3 linked regions of the Struthio camelus genome follow. The protein of the gene in region 1 binds, or shares a complex with, the protein of each later gene. Links are inferred from orthologs where the notes say so. Each region holds a gene or a part of one and is shown on either strand. Other genes may lie near its edges.

The links.
Region 2: BAZ1A (region 1) and CHRAC1 share a complex: the UniProt entries of both Homo sapiens proteins name them as parts of the CHRAC ISWI chromatin remodeling complex. The link is inferred for Struthio camelus from reciprocal best matches to the Homo sapiens genes BAZ1A and CHRAC1.
Region 3: BAZ1A (region 1) and POLE3 share a complex: the UniProt entries of both Homo sapiens proteins name them as parts of the CHRAC ISWI chromatin remodeling complex. The link is inferred for Struthio camelus from reciprocal best matches to the Homo sapiens genes BAZ1A and POLE3.

The regions. Positions count from the first base shown.
Region 1 is NC_090946.1:55,198,546-55,208,763, reverse strand, and holds the start of BAZ1A (bromodomain adjacent to zinc finger domain protein 1A), read left to right. Parts: upstream 1-6,239; 5' UTR 6,240-6,574; intron 6,575-6,639; exon of another isoform or gene 6,640-6,827; intron 6,828-7,286; 5' UTR 7,287-7,324; coding exon 7,325-7,437; intron 7,438-10,218. UniProt on the Homo sapiens protein: Regulatory subunit of the ATP-dependent ACF-1 and ACF-5 ISWI chromatin remodeling complexes, which form ordered nucleosome arrays on chromatin and slide edge- and center-positioned histone octamers away from their original location on the DNA template to facilitate access to DNA during DNA-templated processes such as DNA replication, transcription, and repair.
Region 2 is NC_090943.1:168,239,673-168,249,349, forward strand, and holds CHRAC1 (chromatin accessibility complex protein 1), read left to right. Parts: upstream 1-5,066; 5' UTR 5,067-5,147; coding exon 5,148-5,282; intron 5,283-5,798; coding exon 5,799-5,925; intron 5,926-6,907; coding exon 6,908-7,053; 3' UTR 7,054-7,963; downstream 7,964-9,677. UniProt on the Homo sapiens protein: Forms a complex with DNA polymerase epsilon subunit POLE3 and binds naked DNA, which is then incorporated into chromatin, aided by the nucleosome remodeling activity of ISWI/SNF2H and ACF1.
Region 3 is NC_090961.1:12,218,144-12,227,715, reverse strand, and holds POLE3 (DNA polymerase epsilon subunit 3), read left to right. Parts: upstream 1-4,917; 5' UTR 4,918-5,111; exon of another isoform or gene 5,112-5,169; intron 5,170-5,267; 5' UTR 5,268-5,277; coding exon 5,278-5,343; intron 5,344-6,324; coding exon 6,325-6,410; intron 6,411-7,105; coding exon 7,106-7,224; intron 7,225-7,716; coding exon 7,717-7,877; 3' UTR 7,878-8,619; downstream 8,620-9,572. Other genes in the region: C20H9orf43 (uncharacterized protein C9orf43 homolog), read right to left, coding at 1,249-1,408, 2,558-2,717. UniProt on the Homo sapiens protein: Accessory component of the DNA polymerase epsilon complex. Participates in DNA repair and in chromosomal DNA replication.

The sequences.
Region 1 (10,218 bases):
TTAAACTGCAATATTTATACCAATTCAACCCTAAACGTGTGTGCATTCAGAGTTGATAAAGACTGATTGCAGCACTAGAAGATGTTCCTATATGACAATAAGCTATACAGATAGAAGCATTTTTATAAAATTACATCTATGTCCACACTGTGGGGTTGTACTGAATGAGGTCTCAAATATGCTAACATCCATATCGGAATGTGATTTTAGAATTGTGAAATCTTGTTTTTGCTTTTTGTTTATGAAACTCCTGGAGGAGTGGCAATTACAAACGAAATAATATTCAGTTCTTTATTCACAAGTTACTGAATCTTTAGCAATTTCTTTCTATCAAATGTTGCACTGAATCGGTACTAAAACCAAAAAGGTTTAAACTGACTAGAGATAATTTTCTTCCTTGCTATGAATGTTTGTATCCTTAGCAACTACACTATAACAATCCTACTAACTTTCTAGCTGTCCTAAGTCTTCCGAAGCAGGCAAGACCAAAGCATGCACTGGATTTTTCAACTTTTAAGCTGTTTTTCCTTCAGTTCTGCTCTACATGCATGTTCTCTATATAAGCAGACACATTCACAAGTGCCTGGCTTTTAAGAAATGCAGAAATTCCATCAATACCTTAATTTCTCCTGTGTGTGAGGCCCCAACATGGGCATCGTGTGACAGTGGTATACACCCAACACATGCCTGTGTATGGATCTGTGTGAGGAGGGAGAATCATCATGTAGGCTGTGGCTAGCAGGAGTCCTCCTCTCAGAGGAGCTCTTTGAGCGTGGCATCCCTCTGTGCAATATATTCTGTGGCTGGGATGTACGCTGGACGATGGGCTGCGCGCCAGCTTTAGCACTCAACATAGCAGGCTCAGAGCACTGTGCCAGCACCGTGTTGCCACAAGCAGTTAGGGAAAGGAGAGAGGCTCCAGCAGAGCCCTGCGAAAGCATTAAATCAGAGGTGTAGCTTATTTTGCATCCATGGCAAGATGTCATTTACTCCTGCCTTCGTCCGCCTGGGCTGAAGGGGTGGCCAGTATGTATGCCAGTGCGTGAGCAGCACGGTACGGTATGCTCCGCTCCACTGGTGTATACCACTACTAGCGTGAGCCATGTCATATGGGGAGACAGCCAGAGTCCCAGTCTAGCCAAGCTGGGGCTCAAGCAGCTACTGGCTTCTTCCAGTCTGCACTTATTTGGCATGCACCATCAGAATAGTGCCTAAATAGTTATTTCTTTGCCTCATCCTTCCTAAAGCCCTGTATGAGAGATGAGTAGGAAGACAGAGGAAAATAAGGTGGGGGCCAAAGGAGTCTCATATTAAATGGATGAGATAAATCAGGATACTAGTCATAGTGGTGAGTCATTACATTTGTCAAATGACTCAATGACAATCCGACATGGCGTGTACTTGAGTAGAATTAAGTGTTTCAGCTTGGATCATCACTGTAATCTTTGACTAAATAAGCAGGATCAGCTCCTGGACCCACTTCTGTTTATGTGCTCCTAAATAACAACTACACTGCATGGGATATCTTTCAATACGCAAACAGATTTGCCTCATCTCCATCTTACTAAAAAAATGTTGGGAGTGTTTAGCCATCTAACCAAATCACAAAGTAATGCAGCATTCTTGAAATTATTGGTTCTACTCAGCAGCTGGACAGAGATGTGCTCAATCTAATTAATTCACATGAGGTTGATGCAACATCTTAGTAAATGCTACGTTAGTGTTATACAGTTCTAGTGTTCTTAATCTTAAATGTAAGTGCATAAAGAATATCTCATTCAGATGCGGATCTCAAGTAGGTTGAGGCAAGATATTTAAATCTATTCTAAAATACCATACATCACTCTAGTAGTGAAAATGTTCATTTATAGCAGAAAATAGCAAATTCACCTATCATGCATTCAAAATGATTCATCTTTCATTCTAAATATTGGTTAGCAATGAGAGATTCAGCATATTTTAGTGTCAGACAATTACAGTAGTGTCAATATGCTGTATCCTGTGCATTGCAACTGAAAACAAGAAAATGCAGTACCAGTCCTCTCAAGAGTTTAAGCTGGTTTCAGAGACACTATTGGGAAATGAATAGCAGTTTCACAACATCATTTTATCATTTTGTAATCAGGTCAGAGGCCAATCATACACGGTCATAGCTGCCGAGTAGATGAGGTCAGAGTTCCTCCTCGCTAGTATAAGGTTATCAGTTTAAATAGCCTTAATAGGCCTTTCTGAGAAAGAAAAATGGGATATGATTAAAGTAAACCTTAAAGGGATATATCTCTTAATTTCTGGAGTTGCATGGCAGTTAAGCATGCAATATCCATCAAACGCAGTGAGGACTGTATGCCTAAATCATATTAAACTGTAAAAAAAAAAGAAGGACGCAGAATAACTCTTCCTGTAGAATAACTCTGATGGTATAAGAAACATCACAGTACTCCCAGAGGACTTTCTTGAGGGACGGGCCCTGTCGTATTAGGTGGTATTTAACCTGAGCAGTAGGCAGTGTAGTCTCTGGCCATGACTTATCGCCCTATAATGTATTATAGTAAAAGAACCAAAGATTGGATCTGCGTTTGCAAGTAAGGTATAGCTGGGCTAAGGCTACTAAGAAACTAGACAAAATTTGAAAATACCAAAAATTCATTCAACATTAGGAATTTTTTCTTTCTTTCCTCCTATTTTTGTGACTCATGTGAAAGCAACAAGTGTTGAATGCATCCAGCAGCTGCAGAATAAGGAACCTACTATCCCTTTTGATTACAGAACTGCTTTAAAAGCATGCTGAAATACAATTGAGCTAAAATGAAAGAAAAATGGAACATGTTGTGAAAAGTCATCTGTGTATCTCTTCCTTTTTGGCTGAAGTATGTTATTAATAAGTGAGTATGTTATTAAAAACTGAGCAGAGCGCTTCACAGCCAGTAAAAGACAATAGACCAAATGTTACTGTTACACACAGCTGGAATTTATTGATAAAACCACCACATTGTCTTTGCTCACGTAGTTTAAATAAAGATATATGATCAAAAGAGTAAATGCTCAGCAAGGTGGCGGAGAAAGGGTAAAAGATGCATAGAAACTGTATCAGTAAGTTGTAAAATGCATAATCAGATAAATAAAGTGTTTTTGCTGTGTGCCTTACTCTTTAAGAAAGTAATCTAAGGTTTGTTTGCATTATGGAAGGAAAATATTTCCAAAATAGCATTCAGAAAGAAAAGTGGTGATACTATCCCCAAATTAATCTACTCAGTGCATTAAAATGAGTCGATGCACACATATTTGTTATACTTTTCCTCTCCTTGTGTACATTCTTCAAGCAACAGAGAAAAGGGTTGAGAGTATTGGTATTAAATTATGTCTCGTTGTCATTTGGCTGAACAACTCACTAGCGATGTATCATTTACACAAATTAGTTCATTATTCAAGCTTGTCTTTTCAAACATGCTTTTTTTTACAGAAATTAGCATTGAGAATCTAGAGTCTCATTCACAGTCCAGTGAAGTTCTTGGAAAAATTTTCTCTGACTTCCGTGAGACTCTGAGAGAACAAAGTAGCAACTTTTGGGGAAAAAAAACCCCACCAACAAAAGAGCAGGCAAGCAAGTGGCTAAACATTCGCTACAGAAAAAACCCTCGCGATTGCATGATAGTACAGGTAAAACAGATTGAGTAAAACCTGTATTTTTGTATGGTTCCAAGTGTATGATTTAGCTAAATATTAGTTATTCCAGTATAAAGTTAGGTGTGAATTTAAAGTGGCAAAGCTATACTAAAATAATTCCATTTGTTCCACTTCTTCCTGGAAAAAAATAGTCACACATGGAATTATTTGGTAATGGTTGATCTGAATAAAAATATTTTGGAGTATCTCTCTGTCAATCAGCCTTTGGTGCGTTAAAGACGGGAAGATAAGGATAGGACAAGGAAACAAATCTTTGATAAAGCAAAGAGCAAGTGCACAGAAATGAACAATGAGCAGAATTGTGGAGAGCCTTGAAGGACAAGTTTGGGGTTTGAGCCTGGGCCGATGGTGCTCCTAGGAAATTGTTCTACTGCTGTAAGGCAAAGAGCCCAAGTATTTTATAAGATTTTATGTTCTCAGTACAACTGCTTTTAAAGTTCTACGAATGAGAATAGCAACTTCATTGGCTAGAGAAATCCATTTAGTATAGCTCTCAGTGCGTGAATCATAATTTAAAAAACAGAAGCAATGTGTTTTTTGCCACTTTGTTACATCAATAATAATTCTTGTCTGAAAACTATTATTTCAGTGATGTGTTGTAAAGAACAAATGATTATAGCAATTAAGTACAATGTAACAAATACAATAAATATTTCCATGGAAGGAAAGTATTTTTTTTTCAGGTTTCTCAGAATTAATTTCTACTGAAATCTCTATGCCCACTTAGTCAACGTTAGCCAGTGTTAATAAAAATTGTTCTTGTTCCTGCTGACCTTATCGAGAGCAGAATCAGAACCTGATTTAGTGGATTTTGAAGGACAGAGCTGGATTCAAAGATGAAAACTACATGAACTGCTCCTCTGTACCCTAAGAATACGAAAACATAATGCAACCCTATTACTCAGCGAAGATCTGTTCATTGGAAAACCACTGAGAAAATAATGAGAGGGGAAGAACCAGAGGAGGAGGAAAAGGTGAGAGGAAAAGAGAAAGAGGGCAAGAGAGAGCAAAAAGGAAAAGGGAATTTGCTTTTGATGTCACAGTTCTATCAACTCATGCATTTTTCATGGATACCAACTAGTTCTAAAATAATGCTGTGCTGACAATCCAAGCATTAAAAAAATCACCCAAGTTCCCAAATATCATGATACGGGCTTAAAAATAATGACTTTTAAAAAAGTATACACCAAGGGCTTCTATTTCCCTTCTGATTTATGAGCCTTGCAGGCTCACATATTAAAACCTTCCTCTCAGACTTGAGGTAGAGAAATGTAATTGTTTTTAATGAAAACTGAGGTTCCCGTTTACTGACATCTGCTGAAGAGCAAGAGCTTAAAAAAAACCTAAACGTTGCAAAACTTGCACTGTAATCATAGAGCTGGCAACACTAAATGTCACAACCCTAGCCTGCTGTGTGGCTTTGATGCAAAACTAGCTAAAAATTACAAGAGACGTTAGATACGTTAAAAGAGCGTTAACTAAATTTGCACTTATGCTCTTTGCTAGAAATTAACTTAAAACTGAAAGTGAAGATATCTCACAAATGAAAATAAACTGGTAGGAATTAGAGGGACTTATGCATTACCTGTTTTGTATCTCAGGCTTAATATTTTGTAAATATTTTTGTAAATATTTTGCTCAGGCTTACTATTTTGTAAGAAGAAATGAGCATTAACAGTTCTCAGTGCCTTTGATTAAAACCTGATCACTTTTGAAAAAAAGTAATTCAACAGTTTGACTGTAAAGATTCATTTAGGTTTTAGTCAGACAGGTCGTAGTAATGCAGATCACTGCCTTTCCTGGCAGTGGTAATGAAAACAGCTATGCACAGGTGCAGGGGACAGCACAGGACCTTTTATTTGCATGAACAGAGTTTTCAGCTGTAAACTTCTGTTTAGCTGTCAGCCTTCAAATAAAACATTTTTGCTCGTGAATAATTCTACAGAACGTCTACAATTATTTTGTGTGTCTGCAGGTCTGGACCTTACATGATGCACTACAACAGATGGGGAATTTCTGCGTTTTTATGTCTTTAAGCTGGCTAGCACTCTTAAGATCAAAATTAAGTTAACATCCCAATGTTAATTACCAGTGGCACTGTAAACGCATTAAGGTAATAATAAAAAGTAATGAAAATGAATACAGTGGTAAGTACACTGACATTTTCAAGTAGCTGGGGAAAAGCGCAGCATTGTTTAGGGGCCCACGTACAACTCTTACGCACAATGTTATGAATAGCTGATCTTAATTTCAGGCAAATCGTGCCCCTATTGTAGTTACACTGTGATAGCACTATATCCCTTGGCTTTTTAAGGAGCCAAGGAAGGGGAAAAGCCTCTTGTCATTGTACTACCAAACGCGGAAACCTTGGTGCCTCGGCAGCACAAAACAGCCGTGCGGAGCAGGTTTGTGCCGGCGCGCTGCGGGCGGCAGCGGGCTCGCCGGGTGCGCGGCCGGCGCTTCGCGGTGCCGCCCGCTGCTACCGCTGGGGCCGGCGGCGGCCGCGCTCCGCTCCGCGCCCCTGCGCCGCCCCGCCGGGCCCGGCGCCGCGCACCGCGCAAAGGGCCGCGCTCTCCCCGCCGCCGGCCCGGCCCGGCCTCCCCGCCGCGCTGTAGATCTTTAGGCTGATAATTCAAAAATGGAGGATGAGTCCTCTCAGCCATTAATTAATAATGTAGCTCTCTGTCTTCCTGTGTGACACACGCTGGAAGGCACCGAGCGGCCAATAAAGATGTAGGGGAGAGAAGTGGAAAGCTCCTCCCAGCAGCTCTTCCTGATTGAGGGCTTGCAGAAGTAGATCAAAAACTTCCCAGGAGCTTGGTGGGGGGGGGGGAGGCGGCGGCAGCGAAAAAGGAAGAGAAGCAGCGAGGGGCGCCTCCCCACGCACCAGGTGGGCAGCCGAGCCCCGGCCGCCGGGCGGGCAGGCGGGCGGGGGGCAGCCGAGCCCGGCGCGGCGCGGAGCGGTGCGGGCAGCCCGGCGGGAGCCGCCCGGCCGCGGCGGGGCGGAAAGGCTCGAGGACCCCGCTCCGGTACCGGCCCGGCAGGAAGCGAAGGAGGCAGATAAGCCATCGGCGCTGCCCGCGCTGGCTGTTTGCTCTGCGGGGCGGAGGAGTGGAAGTTGGTGTCCGGCGCGGCGTGCGCGGGTCAGAGGCGGGGGAAAGGGGTGACCCGGGGGCAGGGGAACCGGCGGAGACAAAGCGCGACGGCGGCAGCCGGGGTATCCCCGAGCCGAGCACGTTGTGTGGCGCAGGCGGGCGGGCGGGCGGCCGCGGCGGGGGGGGGGGGGGGAGCCGCCTCCGCCTGCTGCTCGGCGTCACGGCCCCATTGTGAGGCAGGAGGAGGAGGCGGGGGGAGGAAGGAGCCGCCGCTCGCTCCTCGCTCAGTCCCAGGCAGGCAGCGGCGTGTCAGGCACACAAAAGGCTGCCGCCGCCGCCGCCGCTTGCTCCCGCTCCTGCTCCCCTGGGGGGAGGGACACGCCGGGCCCCGCTCCCTCCTCCCCGGGCCGGGGGCCGCCGCGGCTCGCACTCACTCACTCACTCTCTCCCTCCCTTCTTCCTTCCTTCCTCCCTCCCTCTCTCCGTCTTTTTCCCTCCAATTTGAAGCGGGTCCCGGGGCAGGAAGGAGAGCACGGAGTGGGGCGATGCCGCTGCTGCACCGAAAGCCCTTCGTGAGGGAGAAGCCCCCCGCCGACCTCCGGCCGGACGAGCGCGTTTTCTACTGCAGGGTCACTAACGAGATCTTCAGGGACTACGAGTAAGAGACGAGCCTTGCCCTCCCTCCCTCCCGCTCGGCCCTTGTGTGTCGTGTCATGTCGCGTCCTCCCCCCCCGCTGCCGCGAGGGCAGGAGCAGTTTAACCCCCGGAACGGCTGACACCTGGGAGGGGAAGGGAGGGGAGGGGATTCCCCGGCAGCGCCGCGGGGAGCCGGGGGGGGGGGGCCGGCGCCGAGCCCGTGCCCTCCCGAGGGGGGTGGGGGGAGAGGGCGGATCTCTTGCTCCGGGCAGAGGGAATCCCTTCCCCTCCTCGGCGGGGTGTGCCGAGACCCCCTCCCCCCCGCCTCCCTTCCCTCATGGGGAGGGGGGAGCTCCTTGGCCGCTTCCTCCCCCCCCCCCCCCGCACCGCGCAGGGCGCGCGCGGCCCCGTGCGGCGTCGCCCTCGCCCCTGCCCCCGGCCGGCGGCGGGGAAGTGAAAGTTGAGCGTGTGGGAGGGAGCGGGCGGCAGCGAGGATCTGCCCGCGGCTCGGCCTCCCCTTCCCCCGTGGGCAGCCGCATGTCGGCGGCGGACGGCGCTAGGCCGCGGCCCGGCCCCCGCGCCGGCAGCCGCCCGCTGCCGGCGGAACGGGCCGCCAACGGCCGCGGCGCGGGCCGGGCCGCGTTGCGTTGCGTTCAAACGGCGCCGCGGGGAAGCGGCGGCCCCCGCCGCCTGACATGTGCCAGCCGCACCATTGTTGTCGTAGCAGCTGGGCGGGGGGCGCCGCCTGCGGAGCCCGCTCGGCGCGGCTCCCCGGCCGCCCCCCTGGCTGTGCCGGCGCACTTAACCCCTTCTTCCCGGTGCGCGGCCGGGCCGGGCCGTCAGCGCCGCCCACGGCCGCCCTCGCCCCGCCCTCGGCGGGACTGGCGGCGGGGCGAGTCGCTGCTGACCCGGTTGGAAATGGCTCGCGAGCCCCGCCGTTGGCCCTGCGCGCCCGCGGCGGGGGGGAGCGCGGCGGCCGCCGGGCGCAGGCCCTGGGCCCCGCCGCCGGGGCCGGGCCGGGCGGAGCGGGGGGGGCGCTGCACCTGTCGGCCGGGGCCGGGGCTGGACAGCGATCGAGCTTCCCCGCCGCAGGGCGCGATCGCCTTGTAAAATCGTCTGAAAACGAGCAGTGAGAAGTACACCTGTCCCCTCAGGATCTTTTCTTCTAGTTATGTCCCTCTGTCTCTCTCTCTTCCCCCCCCCCCATGCTTTTCCAAGTGTAAAAAGACCAATGGAAATTGCGAAACTGTTGTTAACTGTTGAAGGCTTGCGTTGGGGAAACGCAGCAATAGCCCCCCGACCTACTGTCGCTTACTTTATTGCTTGTGAGAACAATGGATAAAAAGTATTGAGAGAGACGTATTTTGAAAGGCGATCGACGTGCTCCTTTTTATTCCCACCCTCCCCGCCTAGAACAAAGGTCTTCCAAATCCAAACTCTTCTTATTTTTTTCAAAAGAAATGCAGACTAATGAGATTAAATCTGAAATACTTCTCATTTGCAGCATATGAAATTAGATCACACCTAAGTCTTTTTCATGTTTAGACTTGCTTTTCTTACTCAGATACACTTCACCTAATAACATTTTAAAGAAGTTGTATTAGGTAACTTTGAAGGATAATGCCTTACTGTTTACTGGAGAATCTAGTGCGTGTGCATAGGGTTAAATGTGTTTTTAGGAAGTTCTGTAAGGAGTGTTATCATACAGGGCATATGAGAACCTAACAAGCAGGAACTGACAACCTCGTGTTTCTGTAGAAATTAAGTCTCCCTCCCCCAACTTCCACCGTTTTGAAGGTTGCTTTTCTAGCCACAGTTGTTGTTATCACATAATAAGATGACTCTCAAGTATTTGTGGACACTGTTCTGAATTACGTTTCAGATGTGTGTAGTTTTGCTAAAGATTTCGCATGAAGAGTTATCTTCTTAAAACATCTTTCTGCTCTGAAAAGGTTTGAAGATTTCAAGTACTTTGACAGACTTATTTACACTGCAAGGATGTTGTCATTAAGAAAATGTATGAAAGACCAAATTCTGCATTTAACCAGAGTTAACAGATTTTGGGATAAACTTATGTTCACATGGGCTATCCCTAGAAATATCAGTGGGTGGTTAACCCAGAAGTAAGGACTAGTATATTGCATTTGTAGAATAACTAAAGTTTATTAAATCTCCTTGGACTTCGCGTTAAGGAGAAAATACTGCAGAATGATCTCTGTAGGCTATGGTATCAGGATATTTGCGGAAAACAAACTTTACCACTCTGGAACACAACAGTGTTCTTGTACTCTGCCTCTATCCAGAAGATGCAGTTTGCCTGCAGAAATTTTTGATGTGCTTGTTTTTTTTTTTTTGTTTTGTTTTCTTCCTTCCTTCCTCTTTCTTTAATATTGTTTAGGCTGGGTAAAAATTGGTGCCTTGATTGGTCTGCTCGGTGTTTTTGTACTTAGCAATGTGTTCTGGCACAACTGAATAAGAGATTTGACGTTAAGTGTAGTATAAAGCACTGAAGAGCATAGGGTCATCTTTTAGCAAGTTTAAAAACGTTGATGCTTGCCTCTGTTAGGTGCAAAGCGATGCTTCAAATAGATAATGTTTTCTGAGAAAAACATTGTCCTTTTCTTTGCTTAAACAAGGGCAGTTAATTAACAGGGATAGAGAGGCTGTACTTTAAAAAAAGTTATTTTAGCTGTTTTGTGACAGAAAACCAATGTCTAGATTAGTCTGTACTTGAAAGGACGATGCTGCATCGGTTTGTGCTTTTTTTTTTTTTAATCTGGGAATTAATTTTGTAATAACAACT
Region 2 (9,677 bases), on another chromosome or scaffold:
ATAGTTTAATAGTTTTAGCTATATTCTAGAAAATAGCTCACTGTGGGAATCAATTGTGACTGAAAAATTCAGCCTGATAAGGACTGTAGATTGAAACGGTAACTTCAATAGCATTAACACTTATTTGAAGATTATGGACAAGCAATTGCTTGGTGTGAACTGGTGTGAATTGATTTAACAGTAATTCAGGGATAATACAGATGAAACTACAAATGGAGCCATTCTGTTTCAGAAAGAATACAAAGGTAGGAAGCTGCACACCCCTTTCGGGAGGGAAGATAGCCATAGTCAAGCTTAGCCAAATTTAGGATGGAGAGGGTAGAGGGTGACAGTTTTAAATAAACAAAGTAATCATTTTTTGTTCACATACTTTTGCCAGGAACGTGACTGGGAGCATTTCTCACAGGAACATGATTGCTACATTTATTTCTACAATAACGATGCAGGTACTTCACTTTGTACTTTGTTGTGGTATCAGCGATACCAAAGCACCTTAAAGGTTTGGGCTCAGCTGAACAGAGCCAATGCTGATCGTTACTCATGAATCTACTCTGTACCCTTGGTTGGAGAGGGGTTCAGACACGCTTTTGACGTAGTTCATCTCAGCAGTCTGTTGTTGTTTCACACTTTTTTCTTGCAAGACAAAAAGGTGATGGTGATAAATGGCTTGCAGAAAGGCAGAGTTACGATTAATGTAAATTGGAGCATCTAATATTTTAGCATCTCTAGGAAATTATTTAGATTGAGGCTGTGTAAACACAGTGATCTAGAGCTTTGACACTGCTGTTAAGCTACTCAGTCTCCTGATACCCTCCAGGTTGTGGGTATATAATGTCCTGCATAATCCCAGGTGGTGGAGCGAGTCTGAAGAGAAGTTACCTAAATGGGCATCTATCAAAATCGGAAATGGAAGATCAGACTTGGCATTTTTTGCCTGAAAACCTGGCTCCCATTCAAACATTTCTGAAGCTGAAAATCTTCATCCTTTCAGCTTTTCTAACGGAGGAACTCCTACACTGAGAGTCTTACCTGAAACTTCAAAATGGTTAGGCATATTAGTGACCACTGTCAATTCAATCATTTTCTATTTGCATTTGTGCATTAACATCTACTTTACCAACGGCTCAGATTTATCTCCAAGTATGATACAGCCTTATACATCCCCACTCAATAACACGTCATCAAATGCCTTCAGAATCACTTTTTTTTTTCCTCGTGCAAGACAACGCTTCTGCTTCATCATAAACTTCGTTATAAACTGTTCTCATTATTTGTGAATGCTACTTCCGTATCGCTGTGCTTCAGATGCCAAGAACACTACTGCAGCATAGTTAATGTCTTTTGTGATGGTATGCATTTCATGATAAACAGCTTTTTATTTTAATATATCTTTACATTTACTGTAGCATGTGCCAATTGCTTATCCAGATACTGCGTTTATGCTTTGCCAGATTGACTTCTGCTTCCTCCCTTGTTCGCTGACTCACACACATTTTTTCACTGGTCCAGCACTTTCCTACTGTTCTTCACAACATAATGGTCAATGTCAATAGTCTTTTTTCTGATTACAGATCATAAATAATTTACTCTCTAATTACTCTCAATGCTCTTAAATGTGCATGGGCTGGTTTTAAAATGCCACTTTGCAACATAATGGTCAATTTTTTTAGCTATGCTCCACTTTTGTGTAAAGAAAATGTATTCGTGAACTTCTTTGGCTTTGCCAAGCAATGTGAATGTGCAGTCTTCATCACAGTCTCTCTGGAATAACTGGAAGAGCTTCAGTGCAGCTAGAATTGCTTCATGCTCTTTCTATAATATATTTGCTCTTTATCCGATAATACTCTAACTTATCTCAGTGACGTTTGGAAATTCTGCAGACACCTTCTCCAGATTCCCTTCCATGGGGAATTGTGATACATCATGTTTATCATGATTTTTCTTTTAATACCATACAATAAAGGAATGATACAGGAAAGCATTTTTCAAAGATACAGCACTCTTTTCTAGTTTCAGGCAGCTCACTAGTACATATGAATGAGTTCTGTCCCTGTTTGAGCAGGCCAACTATTCACTGAGAGGAAGCTTTACTACCACAATAGCTCTACTTCCACTCAGTATAGGACAGGAGAAGTCAAATTGGTAAATTAGGGAGTCAAATCAGTAATTTTCTTCAGTTAGGTTCTGTTTCAGATTCAGCCCATGAATTTGTTACAGTTTTGTTCTGGTTCAGAACACTAATAGTTCATACCAGTAACCTGGGATTTATATGCACTGCGTCACAGATAATGAATTAAAATAGCCATGCTACAGGGTGAGACCGCAGCAAGGAAAATTACCCCAGCCTCCTTTTCTGCCAAAGCTTGCACAATACCTATACTGTTAACACAGTGCTGCAGCATCTCTCCAGTTCCCTAAAAAGGAAACCGAGGTTGAGAAGCTCGACAGAAACTGTGGCATTGCACTGCGCAGGAAGGAAATGAGAGAGAGGGATGAGCACAACGTGTCTAATCTCTTCTCTTTTCCTGGGAAATACGTCCATACACAACCCAGAGATACATATTTAGAGTGAAACAAGTGAGATCGCTGCAGGGAAGCTCAGGTAGGCAGGTGGCAGTGACAAGGAACAATTCCTTACTATGGGACAAGAATTGTAGCTCTGGTCACTCCATTGTGTTTCCAGACACAGCGTAGTTATACCTCACCTGAGGTGCCAAAGTACCTCCACTGAGCAGGTTCTTATTCAAGGCCGCAAAGCACAGCAAAAAGGAGGACTAGTGACCCAAGCAGGAGTAGAAAAGGAGAGACTGATGTGACAGTGCTCTGCAGTTTGTAATTGGTACAAATAGTCTCTATGCTGAAGAGATTTCCACTGGGGCATATTAGTTTTCAGTGAAACTTGTTCGAATTCATCACAAAAGATACTTATTTCAGCTGGGTTCCAAGTCAGGTTTAAAGAATAATTCCTAGTAACAGTGCCAGTTCAGTCCTGATTCAAAAGAACTAACTCTAGTTTGAACTCTACAGATCTGTGGGTGGTTTTTTTTTTTTTTTTTTTAATTAGGAACAGGTTCAGTCAGTTACTGGTACCACAGTAATGCTGCCATTTCAAAACGTACTAAAAAAATAATTATTAAGTGCCAGTAACGTTGCAGTATAATGGTATCCTCAGAGCGTGTACACATCCACTTTGTGTCATGCATTGTGCTTCTGCCTCCTGCGAACCAAATCTGCATTAGCAGTGGGAAGGGAGAGATGCCAGAAGTTTGCTGTGCTCCCACTCCCGTCCTCTGTCAGTCGAACGCCCTCCTCTTCCCAGCACCGTGCTGAATGACAGAGCTGTCCCATGGGCCCTGACTCTGGGAGCAGTGGGTGGGTGAAGGGAAAAGCCTGAGAGTGGGACAGGAGCCAGACAAAAACGAGCACGTCCCGATTTGCCCAGACCACTTTACGCTACATTGTCCACCACTGAGTAAAAGGACCACTGACAGGTGCCTAGCTCCTATAGGATCTACATGGCTCCTAAACCCATATCCAGATGGCTCAACACCATCAGAAATTTTGGTAGTTTCATGGGTAACTTCATATACTGAAATCATGAAAGATACCAGCAGAATTCACTGTCATGGCAATGTCAACTGTTTCCACAAGATGTCACAAGTAGATAAGGATCAAAGAAACTGAGCCTGCAAAATAGCATCATACTATGTTATGCTTCGCTTTAGCTGTAACTGCCACAGAATAGCATCAACAAAGTTGTAACCTCAAGGGATCTTTGCAGTCTAAGAGATTTAGATTGTCTTTAAAGACTAATAGGAAAAGACGTCTCCAAATATTGTAGTGCTGGAACTGTCACATCACCCTTGCACTCAGGTATCGACATGTGCTGAAGATGTTATTTTTCATTAATAACCCAACATCACCTGTATGAAAACCTTGTCCTTATGTACTGGGCAAAACCTGCATCAGCTGATTATATCCTGCTAACAAATTCCCTGCATTTTCAATTTAATACAATTCTCTTTACTGACACTTCCCTTTCTGCCCCAAACTCGACACGTACTATTTCTGCACGCCGTGGAAAAGCCTCTACGCGTCTATTAAGCGGCGATCAAATAAGTGACCTTAGCAGACTTCTTACCAACACACGCAATCAGGCACACTGCTCGTAAAGCGCACTGAAAACTTTTGAATAAAGACACTAAGGAAACGCAAACAGCGCGTTATCCTTTCCGCGAGCGCCGAGTTGCTCGCGGAGAGGCAGAGTACGGCAGGTCTCATCCTCACAGGCACGCGCGAACTTTCCGGTCCAGCCTTATCAGCAGCAAAACCCTCCCTGCCTTCGGTGGGCCTGAGCGGACGCCAGCCGCTGGGAAGCGGGATACGAGTCACCCGAGCAGAGACGCACCGCGGTACGCTCCTGCACAGGCCGAACGTGTTAATAACAAAGACACTGCCCTATTATCACTTAATACCTTCCACGGGCCCTCCGCATCTAAATACCTCCCACGAGCGTCACAGCCCTCCCTCTGACTGTCCCTACAGCAGCTGAGGCGGTATTTAGCCACCTGCGATTACAGATCCGTGAATAATTTGGTAGCCAGTGGCCTGTAATTAGGGTAGACAGAGGCGGGGCTGCTCCCGAAGCTCAAGCGCCCGCCTGGGGCTACGACCCGCGCGGAGGGGCCGCGGGAGGGAGCAGGGCACCAGCCGGCGCCGAGAGAAGCCCCCTCCCGGGCCCGGGGAAGGGGAACCCCGACGGCGGGGCCGGGCCGAGCTCTGAGGAACCAACGGCGCCGCCGCCGCCGCCGCCGCCATCGCCTCAGGGCCCGCGGTGCATCACGGGAAGAACGCTCCTCCCGCGGGAGGCGCGGTGCACGGCGGGACTTGTAGTCCTTCCCCCTCCTCTCCTCGGCGGGCGGAGCGGTGCCTCATGGGATTTGTAGTCCAAGCCTCGCTGCTTAGCCGCGGGGCGCGGCGTTCCCTCTAGTGGCCGAAGACTACAGTTCCCAGCAGGCTGTGCTGCAGAGGCCGCCTATTCCCCCCCCCCCCCAAATCCCCGCCCGCCCGCGGCCGGGTTTGGAGGGCCGGCGCCGGTCGGAGGCCAGGCGGGGTTGGGGGTGGGGGAGGAGGAGGAGGAGGGGAAGATGGCGGCGCGGTTGAGCGGCGGCGAGAACCGGCTGGTGTCGCTGCCCCTTTCGCGCATCCGCGTGATCATGAAGAGCTCGCCGGAGGTTTCCAGCATCAACCAAGACGCTCTTTTCCTCACCGCCAAGGCCACGGTACCGGTCGCCCCTTTCACCTCCCCTCCCGGGCCGGGCCCGGTTGTGAGGGGGGGGGGCCGGGCCCAACGGCGCCGCCGCCGCCGCCGCAGCAGCTCTCGCTGCCTCCCTCCGGCCCTTTCCTACCCGCGCAAGCGGGAGGTGAAGCCTCGCCCTCCTGGCTGCTTGTCGTGTGGGGGGTTTGGGCGCCGTCCGCTGCGGCCGAGCCGCCAGGGCCCGCGGGAGCCAGCGTTTCCACCGCGCTCAGGAAACGAGCCCGTGTGGAGGCCGCCTCCTGCCGCTTTCCCCTCCCGCCTGCGGCTTGCTGGGCTGCGGGAGGCCCTGGCGAGCAGCGCGAGTGAAGTTCCCTCAGCTACATCCTGACCTTGAGCCTTTCTGAAATCCGTGGGACTCTGCGCAGGGCGTCCCACAATACGTACGGTTGAGCAAAGGGCGTTAAGTGGGGATTAACGACAACTGCTACCAACTCTATGTATTAATTCACTGCTTGACTGTTGACTTCGTTTTGATTTTTAGGAGCTTTTTGTACAGTATTTGGCTACCTACTCCTACAAGCATGGCAGAGGCAAGGAGAAGAGCGCTCTAACTTACAGTGACCTGTCTCACACCGCGGAAGAGTGTGAAACCTTTCAGTTCCTTGCAGGTATCTGTAGAGTAATAGTGAATCCAGGATGTAGTTTGGAAAATGAAACGGTGCTGTCACAGAAGCGTTCTGTGAGGACACGATTCTCCTACTGGTTGTTAGTGTCCTGTACAGCATTCGACTGTACCTCATGAACTACATCACTGAAAACACTTCTTTGCAAAAGAATGGGTATTTTTCCAGTGCTGGGAAACTACACAAGGCCTGTTAGTCCTCTGTGTATTGCTCTATCCGTTTCTTAGATGCAAACAACGCAATCTGAAAGCTTTCAAGCCTATAAAATGAGATCACTTTAGGTCTTTCTGTGTCAACTTCTGTTATCCCAGAAACTACAGATGTAAATCTACAAATCTTAATTCTCAAAGAGAGTCATTCTCTGGTTCCACTCCCCCTTTTTAGTGTGTAAGTATATGTGTGCACGCACATATACATTTTTTGCTGGTACTGAGATTTTTGTTTTAACACTTAGCTCAGAACAGATATGGGAAAAGGATATGGGTTGAGGATGAGATGTACCTAGCCCAGTTTTTCTCCGAGCACCTTATGGGCATGCTTTCAGAGCATGCAGTCCTGTTTTGTCACAGGTCCATCATTATTGCCCTGAACAATACCTTCCTTGAGTACAGAAAAACAATTTCCACAGAACATAAATGGGATGGCTATCCAGTTAAATGAGCACTCATTTTTATTTGATGTAAAAGTAAAATGAAGTGATTAGGTAGTAAAGAGAGTGGTCTGTAATCAGTTTTATAACATATATTCCTCATCTTTGATTACTTGTACCTTAAGTGGGCAATTCCCTCCTTTTCTCACAGCTTGTTCATAAGCCAGAGTGAATAATCTGGTTAGTCGCTAAAAGTATAATAACTTTTCAAAATTGCCTCTGTTGGACTTTGTTTCAGTAATGATATGGATGCAACAGTATTTATGAGATAATTTAAGTATTCAAACTTTCTATAGAAGAAGCAATTCTACCTTTCAGATATCTTACCAAAGAAGATCCTCGCTAGCAAATACCTAAAAATGCTTGAAAAAGAGAAGCGAGATGGAGAAGTGAGGGAAAATGACGAAGAGGATGAGGAGGAAGATGATGATGAAGAAGAAAGTGTTGAAGATGTTGGATCTTAAGGCTAATGGAGAATTACTTCATAGTTAATCAATTTTCTGTTGTATAAAGGATGCTATTTTTGTGACTGAAAATCCATATGCTGGATATATTTATACACTGAGCCATCTGCTTTTGCTTTAAGAAGTTTAGAAATTGAACTTTATCCCTGCTGAAGAATGGAATTCTTCTCTCAGACGCATGATGGGGAAAGAAGAGTTGTTGTAAATCTGACAGCAGAACTTGCTCAGACGATTTAAAATGACTTCTTCAGACAATCGTTATCCAAATTTAAAACGTCTTATGGGCAATGCAGCTTTCAGTCCAAAGGCTCTTTCTCCCTCCAACCAGGAGTCCTCCACCACTTTCTCTTTCCTCAGAGAGGAAAATGAGGGGAGGAGAGACTTCTTACGCAATGTCCTCTGCCTCCCTAAGTAGACAATAACTGATCAAACCTTCCCCCAGTTCTCTGGAAACGTGCCAGGGCATTAGCAGTGGACCAAGCCCATCTAAAACAAAACAAAACCCCCCAAAAACCGCTTCTGTAATGCAGCTTAAATAGCCACGTCTGCACAGAAATGAGCTAGAGGTTCAGATCCATTCCGATAGCTGATGTGGCTCTGCGGCCAGCAGTAAAAAGTAGATGTGTTAGATAATGATGTAAATATGTATATCTAGAATCTTTTTTTCTAGTGAAGTCTCTACTTCTGCAATTTGTCTGTGGTTTCCTACCAAAATGGACATTGTTTTAAGTTTATTGAATGTGGATTGTTGAGTGGCAAGAGAATTAGCAACTGTTTTACCATTTGAGCGGTAGAGCTGGATTTTTTCTTTTTTTTTTTTTAAACTACAGAAATGGTGACAGTCCTGTGTAGAACTTTGTATGCAACTTTTTAAGGAAAATAAATGTTTTATATGAAAAGTGACAGTTAATGCAGAGGCTTTCTACAGTTCTTTCCAGCTTCAGTCACGTCCCTGGTTAACGTATGAGCCTAGTATGCTTGCTGTTCATCTTTCCAGAAAGGAAAGGGGGGGGGGGGGGCAAAGAGCTATGCGATGCTTGGAGCAATCGTCTGAGGTGTTCTCTATTAGCAATGCTAACTAGATTTAGTCTGCTTTGGGAGCCTCACCACTGTTAGCCAAGGGTCTCTCTAATGTTTAGTCAGAAAGAAACTGAACTGACTAACATGTCTCTCTAGATGGAGGGAGGTTAAGAGAAGAATGCTTCTTGTGTTCCACTACCTACCTCGCAGACACTTACCGAAACCAAGCTCTGTTCTCCCTAAGCATGGAAAAAGGTTAAGGAACTAATTCTCCACATCCAATAAGCCAGGCAGCAACCTGCCCTTAACCAGGAAATGAGAGGTGTCATACAACACACTAATTTGGATGGTATGGCAAAGAGTTGCCTGCTAATTATTCATGCTGTATCCTCCCTGTCAGGATAACACTACCAGCTTGTCCCAGGCTGAAGGCTCAAGTATGCTGAGATATGTAAATTATGTCTGAGCAGTTGGGGGGTGGGGGGGGAACCAAACAGAGACATGCTCACGCTCAAAAGCTGTTGAACTTACTTAACTGTTTGGCTCAGTTTTAGAAGACCTGGGGTTTTGCCAGGCGTAGATCATAAGGGCCAATATCAGTGACTTGATAGTAAAGGTGCCCAAGCAGCCCCGCGTGGAGGTGAGCACCTCCCATTGCTCACAGTTTGCAGGGGACTGATCATGGCTGGATTTTGGCACTCAAGACGAGCTGCTGCTCAGCTTGCCAAGTGAGCGCGCCCACTGACTTTCGTTAGGTGATGCAGCAGCACCGCTGTTGGGCACTGTATCAAAGCCCCAACGCATTCATCAGCCAGGCGCTGCTCTGGCGAGTAGGAGATCACATGCCTGGAAAGGAGCGTGTCAGCATGATCAGCCAATTTGTCCAAGAAAAAAAAGCCTGACCCCATGCCCCAGTACACACCCGCCCATGCTGACACAACTAGGAGCACTGAAAAAACAAATGTTCACTGGGGACATGTCAGATCCTGGCCAGTTCTGAGAGGGGCGCCTGCAATCGGAAGGGGAGCATACTGCGGGAGCCAGCAGAGGTAAGCACCGTACTGGGCTTGTTCAGTACCATCATATCTTATTGTGGAATAAGATATTATCCGTGTATCCAGGCTACTGCCACAACTGGCAGAGCTGTCCCTAGACACGAAGAGCCCACAGCGGCAAAGCACCCTGCTTCGTTGTCCTGCAACCCCATTCCCCAAGCCCTTCTGCGTCAAGAACAGTCTTGTGCCATCTAGCAGCTCTGCCTCGGCTCTTGGACCAGCCTCCCTCGCTCTTGATTTGAGTTGTGAGCAGCATATACATATCGTCCCAACGGAAGAGTCACCCTCCTGAAGGATGCTGGCCACTTGGTCCGTGATGCGCACGTGTCTTGGGCAGTCTTGGAGCCCTCTGCTGCCACAGCAGACACCAGCAATGGTTGTGCTGCTTTCTAAGGGTGGTGTCCTCCCCAGAGCCTGCAGCTGCTGCTTCCCTCTTTTGAGAACGAGGCCCATTGCTCCCTCAGAAAGCACCAAGACTTCACGGGTTCTGCAGCCGGCTTGTCTGTAACAGCTCCTCCTCTCCTCCCTGCCTACTTCTGCAAACCGTGT
Region 3 (9,572 bases), on another chromosome or scaffold:
GTGTCAGAAGGGAAAGTCTTTTCAATCAGTAGAATTTTAGCCTGAGGATGTTTTTTTTTTTTTGATAACTAGAACCTCTGAATCAGTTTATGATAAAAGGGACCCTAGGGAACAGTTTTGATTTTGACACTGGGATAGCTAGAGTGGTTTGAGCTTTGAGGATGCAACAGTTGGATTAGAAAGCCTTAGTCAGAGATGATCTAGCCTTAGAACAACTGAGTTCAGAAGGGGAGTGTGTGAGCGACATCTATATGCCAACGTATTCCACTGGGAACTGGGCTCCTCTTTGTTTCTAGGCTATTTTTACTTTAGGGAAAGGAAAGAGGGAATGTTTTGAGACATTAGAGCTAAGTTTCAGGACAGAAGTATAAAGAATAAAGCTCGTTTTCTTTAAAAACAGGATACCGTCGAGAGTTTAAAATTCTTATTCTATAATGAAAAAGAAAAGAATGCAGACCAGCAAGGGCCAGTCTATGACAAATTTAAACTAGTAAAAGTAAGTACTGTAACAACATCCCATGCCATGGAAGCCACTCGGATCCGAGCTGTGTGTTCAGCTTCCAGAGCAGCTGGTCCCTTCCTGTTTTGTTACAGACATGGAGCTAATGGGACACACACTTAACTCTGGCCTTGAGCACTTTACTGTCCCCTCTGACTCATGCTCTGTGATAACTTACTCTGTGAATAGCTCCACAGCAGTTTAGGGTGGATCCAGTTAGTACTAATGAGGGGAAAGAGGTGTGAATTGACTCACCAGCCTACAGGGGTTATGAACATACTCAACCATTTGCCGATTCTATACCACCATATGGGCATACACATTTAATTAGGACTTGTGTTTCTTCAAGAATTTTATTGCACCGATCTTAATAGGGCTTCAGTACCAACAGAGACTATATATGCACTCCACAGTGACTACTATACAGAAATAATCTGTACTTCAAATTTTTTATTTATTTGGTCTTAATGATACAGAAGCATCGTTTTCAAGGAAATAAACTTAAGCAAGACTCAACCATTACTGCTAACAGTGTATTCTACACAGTACAAACAACATTTTGTAAGCTGTGTCCACTACAGCTGAACCTAATGTTTCTGTGAGCTCTTTGAGGAAAAAAACACAAAAAAACCCCAAAAAACAAAAAAAACCCAAAAACAAAAAAAAAAAACAAAAAAACAAGCTATCACCTTCATGCCTGCCCTTACTGCAGGCTTAAAACTCACAGATGGATGTTCAGAGCCATTCACCTGACAGCACTATCTTCCTCCGAACTCTCTTGAAGCACAGAATTTAGAAGAGAGGGTGCAGCAGAGATGGAGAAAGTTCTGTGACACTTGGAACATTGGACGCATCTTCTCAAAGACTTGCTGGGGGGGATATTTACTATTTTCAGCGTTGGAAATTCATCTAAGAAAAGTAAAGCAAATGCAAGGTGAACATCAAGGATCTGATAAGTAAAAACTGCGTGCAGTGTTTAATAACTGTTTACTGCCACTGAAGACACAACAGCTCCATTGGTGTATTAGCCCCATTTATAGTAGCCAGAATTTCTAGCTAAGGAAACAATAATTCACCTTATAGCAACCGTGATTCTTGGAGAAGTTCTCTACGTGCAGATCATACTCCTAGGGCCCAAAGTGCCAAAAATGCAAGAAATCACCACCTTCTACACCACAGCATTTTCTGAGCCGTGCATGAGCCCTGCAGAGCCTCAACCCGCCATTCTAAGGGCAAGAAGGTTAGTGCAGTATCAACCACCAGTCACCTCCTTTGCTGCTCAGAGTCTCCATTAAAGGACTCTGTGAAGCTACAGAAGAGAAGGGCACTTTGTCAGACTGCTCTGTACAGTGTATCTCGAGGAATTACAGTAACATAAGTATAACAACTCTTTCTTCTTAATTATCTGTCCATAGCGACCCCATTCTTGCTGGTAGGCAGCAGAAACCCCCTTAAGAAGATGACAGCAAGTTTTGTCAAACACTGATGAATCACTTGGGTAAACAGGAGATCAGACCCACAGGCAAACACTAGGAAGTAGTGATCAAAGAGTGTACACAGGGAGCTCCAAGCAGCTGATATGCAAACCTCATTTACAAAGACTTTCCTGAAGCGTGTTAGAGGACCTAGGGTGGAATTGGAATGAAACCTGCTACTAGCTTATGGACATATACTTAAGGAAAAATGCATGTTGAAGACTGAGTACCTAAATTTAACAAGAAACCATTGAAACAAGCTGCCAAGGAAAGTAACTCTGGCTTTCTTGATATCAGCTAATCAAGGTTAGTTACCTTAGGGAAGAGATGCTTTATTTGAACAAGCTATTGAGATAAATCCTGAAGGGCATGAATACATTATACAGGTCGGACTAGGCAATCTAATGTTTGCTTCCAGCTTTAAAAATCCAAAAATCTGTGAACAGTCTTCAACTTCACTAGCTACCTCATGTGAAAACTGAAAATTTCCTTGACTTCACTAGGATTTCAAGTTAGTTATCTCAAATGCAAGAATGCTCTTTTCCCTTCTTCTGTGAAGATAATAATTTAACCAAAACTTTACCTTTGCTTTCCAAAAACGTTCTAGAAATTGAATCAGAATTTCTTAAACGGATCCGAGGATGTCCCTCTTCAATCCTCCTTAGTGTATCCCAGCATTGTGGATGCTGACAAATAACCTTATCACAAATAGTTTCGTCCCACTGGCTTACATCTGCAGTCATCCTTTTTGCAACCGCTCCAGTATGAAGGGAGAGTGGTAAGATGGTATCATCGATTTAAATACTCTGCAAAACAGAAAATTAGTGCATATTAATTTAGCAGAAGAAAACAAACCTGAATACATATACAGTATAACGTTAAAAATAACCACATTGCAGGGTGGGGATCAAATCACAGGCTGCCCTCAGGCACATCCATCCTAGGTCATGACAAGCTGACAACCTGCCATTGTACCCTGTCACTCCAGAGCTTTGATATCATAGTTCCTTTCTAGTCTCATCTAGCTGTAACATGCAAAGCATGTAACATGTAAAATGTGACCTGCAGTAGTAAACTTCACTGTTACAAGTCACATTTTACACTGGTACAATAATTTCTCCTTGTGGCTTTGGAATATCTACAGTGACATAAGAGCAGTGGTTTGGCTATGCTAGCCAGTGCGGAAAAGCAAAAAAGCGGGAGACAATATCACCATTACATGCCTCAAAGAAAACGCAGGTTAATTATTACTTTAATAGATACAGCGTCGACCCTCTAGACGTTGTAGTTAAAAACAAGCACACCTTTTTATCTCAGTTATTTCACTGGTGACCAAAGCATCCAAGAAAGAAGAGAGTCCATCATGTCAGAAAGATATACGCCTCTTCATGATGAGAAGCATCTAGAAGAGGTTCATGAGAGCAGCAGCTTTGGGCTGTACCTCTGTCTGGCCTTGGGCCAGCACCATTTCTGTTTCTACGCCAGTCCACCCCCCTCACCAGAAAACAACATAACTGTGTCTTGCTTTCTTCTCAAATTAGAAAAGGTGTGTACAAAAGACAACCTCGCCTCTGGCGAAATAAAAAACAAAACAAGCCACAATGGCTTCTAATGACTCTTCTAACAACAGCGAGCAGCCAGCCAACTCAGAAGTCTGTATTAGCACCATCTATTACACTTACAAACGGACCAGTTACAGTCTCTCATTACTTTCATTAGAAACTAATCCAACACCTGCTACAGCATCTTGTCTCTGCGTGCCATAAAGCATCCATACAGTTAACAGTAGAATACATTAAAAGGTGCTAAAAATGAGATTCAAGAGACATGATTTGTACATACAGGTGATAGCTTTTATTAATCCAACCAGTACAACTGGAAACGTAATCACGTCCTCAGGCAAACAAGCCTTTCTTCAGGTCTGACCTTTCTACACCGAAGATGTTGCGTACTATTCCCAGAATACCATCAGGTGTAAAATAAGCTCCAATCTTTACATATAAATTGGTCACGTAAACATCCACAAGCTACTGTTGGAAAACGTACACTTTGCATGGAGAAAAGATGCATTGACCATTAACACTCCCAATTTCAAAAATGACCTCTGACACCACACCAGATTAATCCACTGCCTTCTAACACTCTGAGTTTACTTCAATTACCTTGTCAGGCTATCAAAAGCGATAAAACCTGATGAAATCAACTGAAGAGAAATTGAGGCGCGGCGTTACGCGTCGGGGGCCGGGGTCCGCGGGGAAGCGACACCTTCGCCGAAGGCACGCTCGGCACGGCCTGGCGCCCCAAGGCCCAGGCTGCCCACGAGGCCCCGCGCCGCAGCCACATCCCCGCGCCAGCGCAGCGCTCAAGCGCGCGCCCCAGGCTCGCCGCCAGGGCTGGCGAGGCGAAGGCCCCCAGGGCGAGCCACGGCCGGGCGAGGAGGCCCCCGCGCGGATGCCATGCAGCCCAAGGCGTGCCCTCACGAGGCCGGAAACCGGTGGGCGGGCCGGGCACCTGCCTCACGGGCTCCCCCCAGGCTCTCGCCCCCCTGCGCCTGATCCCTCACCAACCCCCCAGGCTCCCACGACCTGCCCCAGGCCCTGCTCCCTGCCCTGAGCTCCCACAAACTGCCCCTGTCCGCAGCCCCCGAGTCCCACGACCTGCCCCCGGCCCTGCTCCCTCACCTCAGGCTCCCACAAACTGCCCCTGTCCCCCCACCCTGGAGCCCCATGAACTGCCCCCATCACCCACCGCCCTCCAACTCCTCCTGCCCCGCTCTCACTCCCGCCATCCCCACCCCGCAGGCGCCCCGCCCTGCCTCCTTAGCCCCGCCCACGGCAGCCCGGGCCCCGCCCACCACGCCCGGGCCCGCCCCGGGCCCCTCGAGCCCCGCCCCCTGGACGCACCCCCTCTCCGCCCCCCCTTGGCCCCGCCCCCCTACGCCGCGCGCCGCGTGCCCGTGCCCGCCGGTGCCGCCAGGCTCCCGCGCCCCCGGGCCTGAGTCGCCGCCGGCGGCGGCAGCCCGTCTCCTCGTTACCGGGCGGGCGCTGCCTACCGGCCAACGGCCGCGCTCGGGGCGCGCGGCGGCGGCCGCGGGGCAGGCCGGGAAGGGGCGCGCTGCACGCTGGGAGGGGTCAGAGGTGAGAGGGCAGCGGCTGGGCGCGCGGTTCGGTGCGGCGGCCGCCGGCACGCGGCGAGGTACCGCGGGCGCCGGGCCGGGCCGGGCCGCACCTCCCCCCCCGCCCTCCCCCGGCACCGGGCGGCCCCGGCGAGTGACGCTCCCGTTTGCCTTGCAGGTGGCGCAGGATGGCGGAGAGACCCGAGGACCTGAACCTGCCCAACGCCGTCATCACCCGCATCATCAAGGAGGCGGTGGGCGCGGCGGCGCGGGCCGGGCCGGGCCGGGCCGGGGAGGCGGCAGGGCTCGGCAGCGGGGCCCCGGCCTCGGGGCGCTTCCTGGCGAGCCGGGGGGCCTCCGCTCACCGCGGAGCTCGGGGCCCGCGTTCCGCCGCCCCAGGGCGAGGGCAGCGCCGGTTCCCGGGCCGCGTCCCCTCGGCGGTCCGGCGGCGGGGCAGTCGGCCGTCGGCGGCCCCGGCGAGCGAGGGACGGGGGTGGGTGGGTGCCAGCAGACAGACTCCTCCGGAGCAGCCCCCCGCGGCAGTTTCTTTATTCCACGTCTTTGCTGCCCTCTCGAATTCCCCAAACGTGCCCGGGTGCCGGGAACAGCTTGTCCGGGGAGAGCGGTGGGCGCAGCCTCCCGTGCCGTCACGCGTGTTGTGCACCTGTGAGGAAACCTGTGAGGAAAAGATCGGCCCCCAGCCCAGTTTTCCAGGTGTCAGGAGTAACGATCCAGACTCTGAAATCCTACGGTAGAGGCAGGAGCGATGGGGCAGTGAGAACCCTGTCTTCCTAAACCAGCTCCCAGAACAAAATCAGAGCAGAAACAGATGAGGGCTCAAGTGCAATTTCTTTTCTGTGTAGAAGCCTAGAGTAAGTCTTAGTTATTAAGTTAATGATATGATGATCTTAAGCTATGAGGCGTCAATGCATGAGTTTGGATATTGCTGGATGATTGTTCTGCATCAAGAATTTGATAGTGATCAGATGAATCGCCACTGAGATGATGGCCAGACCCACTGCTGATGCAGAATTTACTTTCCTTTTATGTAGCTTAGATCATCGTTAACTTTCAGCTACTATCAAACTTTCTGTAATAACATCTGAGATAAATAAATCTTTCCACGTTTGCAGTCATGCTGAGCTCTCTGAAAGCTTTAGCTGAGCTGACACGTGAATTATGCAGTCTTGAGCCATTTATAGCAGCTACTGATAAAACTCGAATTTGCTTTTCAGCTTCCTGATGGAGTAAATATTTCTAAAGAAGCTCGGAGCGCAATATCTCGAGCGGCAAGTGTGTTTGTGCTCTATGCAACATCATGGTAAGAAGTGGTTGGATCAGATCACCAGTGCAGTTGATTTATAACTAGCCTCTCTGTTGGCTCTCCTGGAAATGATTTTTTCAATGCGCTAGTGAAGTGTTGACTGTTTATATGAATAAAACAATCTTCAGCCTAGCCCAGTCCATCAGATTGCAGCAGTCAGATTTGGACTGTCCTGTACAAACTGAGGGAAGACAGATATGACTCTGTAGACGAAGGTGTCTTCCTACCCCGTGAGGAATAAGAGCGGCCCCCACACTGTCCTCTGGCCTTGGAGCATGGCTGTATGGTATTTCCAGGCAAATGCGAAAGACCTTTGCTCACTTTCCAGGCTCTCCACGTAGCTGCGTTAGGACTAAGCCTGAGACAACCATAGGCTGCCTTGGAGCTGATCCCAGAGGATACAGTAACCTCTTTTGGGTGGCTGGGTATATGGCCATGTGTATATGCTCAGAATATGCTGTGCAGACAGTCACTGCTCTGGTTTTAAGTACTCACCCAGATTATGGAAACATGAACAGTCAATGTAAACAAGAAAATATCTTTATTACAGTAAATCAGCTATAGTATGTGGTAAGAACAACTGAATGTTTAGGAGATCACTTTTGGGGGCGGAGGGGGGGAAGTTGTTTGTGACCTTAAGAAGCAAGAATAAATTGATAGTTATTATCTCTGTTCTCCTTGTTTTTGACTAGTGCAAATAACTTTGCAATGAAAGGGAAGAGGAAAACACTGAATGCTGGTGATGTTCTCTCTGCCATGGAGGAAATGGAGTTTCAGCGATTTGTAGCCCCTTTAAAAGAATCACTGGAAGGTACTGGTCTCAGTTCATGTCAAGGGAGTCTAAGTAGCACCAAGTCCTACTTTCCTAGAAGGTTCGACAAGCAACGCTTATTTCCCTGTCTTGTTTCTCTTTTCTTTGCCCAGCATCCTACACTGCAGTTTGCCTGGGGAATAAATAATGTGCACCTTAACAGGACTGGGATAACATTATTTCACAACTGATGAGGATTGGGAAAGTCTCATCTGATATCATTCCCCTATTATGTTTGTCTAAGGAAAGTCTTAGGTGCTGCCTGTAAATGGGAACTCCTGCGTCCTTTTCAGCATATTTCTGCTGAACAGCACTTAACCTGATTTCCTATGGAGCTGCTCAGCACAGCTCAAATAATAGGGTGAGTTGCTGCTCTGAATTCACTGCTCCTGTTGTAACCCTGGAGAGCAAGTGGGCATTGGACTTCAGCTGCTCTACTATTCATACAGTGGATAGCCTGCAAATTTTCAGTGTTTTTTTTTTTTTTTTTAGTTTACAGACGTGAACAGAAAGGAAAGAAAGAAGCAAGAAAAGATAAAGACAAGAAGGCAGACTCAGAAGAGCAAGATAAGAGCCGAGAGGAAGAGAATGATGACGACGACGAAAGAATGGAGGAAGAAGAGCAAAATGAGGAGGAAGAGGTGGACAACTAAGCTTTCTGATGAGACGTGTGCGGGAGTTGGGCTCTGTTCGTAGGGATATAAATGCTGTAAATCAATTTTGCTGTGTCCCCTCTTGGTTTCCAGTAGAGCTTTGTACTGTTCCTCTGGGGCCCATCCCCTTTTGGCTTTGACTTGTATATAAAGGACTTCTACAGCTTTTCTAGTGGAAGGACCACCTCCTCCCTGTGCACGTGGAACTTGGCGCTCTCGCCAGATTCTGACCCAAACAGTAATGACTGGGTAAAAAGACTGGGGTTCTTATGCAGGGTTGGCTCTGAAATACAGCAAAAGGAAATGTTAGATTCTCACTACAGAAACTGGTCGGGAGAACATGAGGAAACTGTTGAATAAGTTTGTTAAACCAAGTCGGAAGCTGAATTGAGTAGGTTATAACTTTTGAGTTACAGAAACTGCCTGATGATGTTAAGAGAGACACCTTCACGTCTCAAAAGCTGAACGTTTAAGAGTTTTATCCAAGTGACTTCATTTTCCCTTCATTTTCTTGCCTTCTGGCTGCGCCTTCTCTTTCTGCTGTGACACTGATAATGTGGTTTACAACCTCACCAGTTGTATGCAGTGATACAGAACTGACTTGCTGCCCAGAATCAATCCAAATCAAAAGAACTTTGCTGCAATTATAATGTAAACTAAATACCAAAAGTGCTTGTTTTATATCTTTTAAAGACCCTGGGAGACCAAGAGCAATTTTATTAAAAATCTGAAGCAAAATTAAGAGCTAAGATGTGTTGTGTATCAGCAATGATGCAACGTTGTATCAAGTGGTACATTTGTTGCAGGTCAGCAGAGGGCACCCGTGGATCTGATGGTCTCCCCACCTCTCCTCCCTTTGCAGAGTTGCAGTTCCTTCTGCAGACAGGTTGTGATTGCAGCAAGTTTACATGTGGTATTAGAATAGATTGGTTGGGGGTTTGAGGGGGGTTTATTTTTTCAAATTGGAATGGGCTAACTACATTGAACTAAGGTCCTCCTTTAGCCTTTTTAGTACAAGCTACCCAAAGCTATTCAAAAGATGCAGTCTGCCTCCAGATGTGATGGGCTCTAGGAGTGCAGTGAGGACAGGATGTTCCTACCTAGAAAGGCCAGCCTCCGGCCTTTGGTTTTTAAATGCCTCTCTCAAGAAAGATGGGTCAGCTGATGAATGGGTTCAAGCAAGCTGTTTGCATTTCTAGCGTTCCTACAGTTTTGTTCTTTCATACTGAACTCTTAAGTTATGACAACTTTTCTTTCTCCTCTGTGAGGAAAGCATCTAGTCTAATAAGCCCCTTTTAGGAAAAAAAAAATGTTTTATCATTTGCTCATTTAAAGGATAATAAACCTAATATTTGGACTTAAATGAGCTCTGCTGAAGGAAACCTGAGGAAAAGTTTAGGTACATCTAAGTAAACTCAACAGTTTGCTGACGCGCAGTTTAAAAGCGAGCACTTGTGTGGAGTGGTACGTCCTTTTCACTGTTTCTTCTGAAAAACTGATGCAAAGCTTCCCACAAGAGTTACCCTACCTTTACATTTTTATGGCATCATGGTTTCCCGTCATGCGGAAGCCCAGTTCATGAAAAGAACTGGATTGAAAGAGATTTCTGCCATCTAGCTTCGGCTGCCATGCAGTCAATAACGGCAGAAAAGACTGAAGTGTTGACAGGGTCTCCTGGAGGTCTCTTCTCTTTCC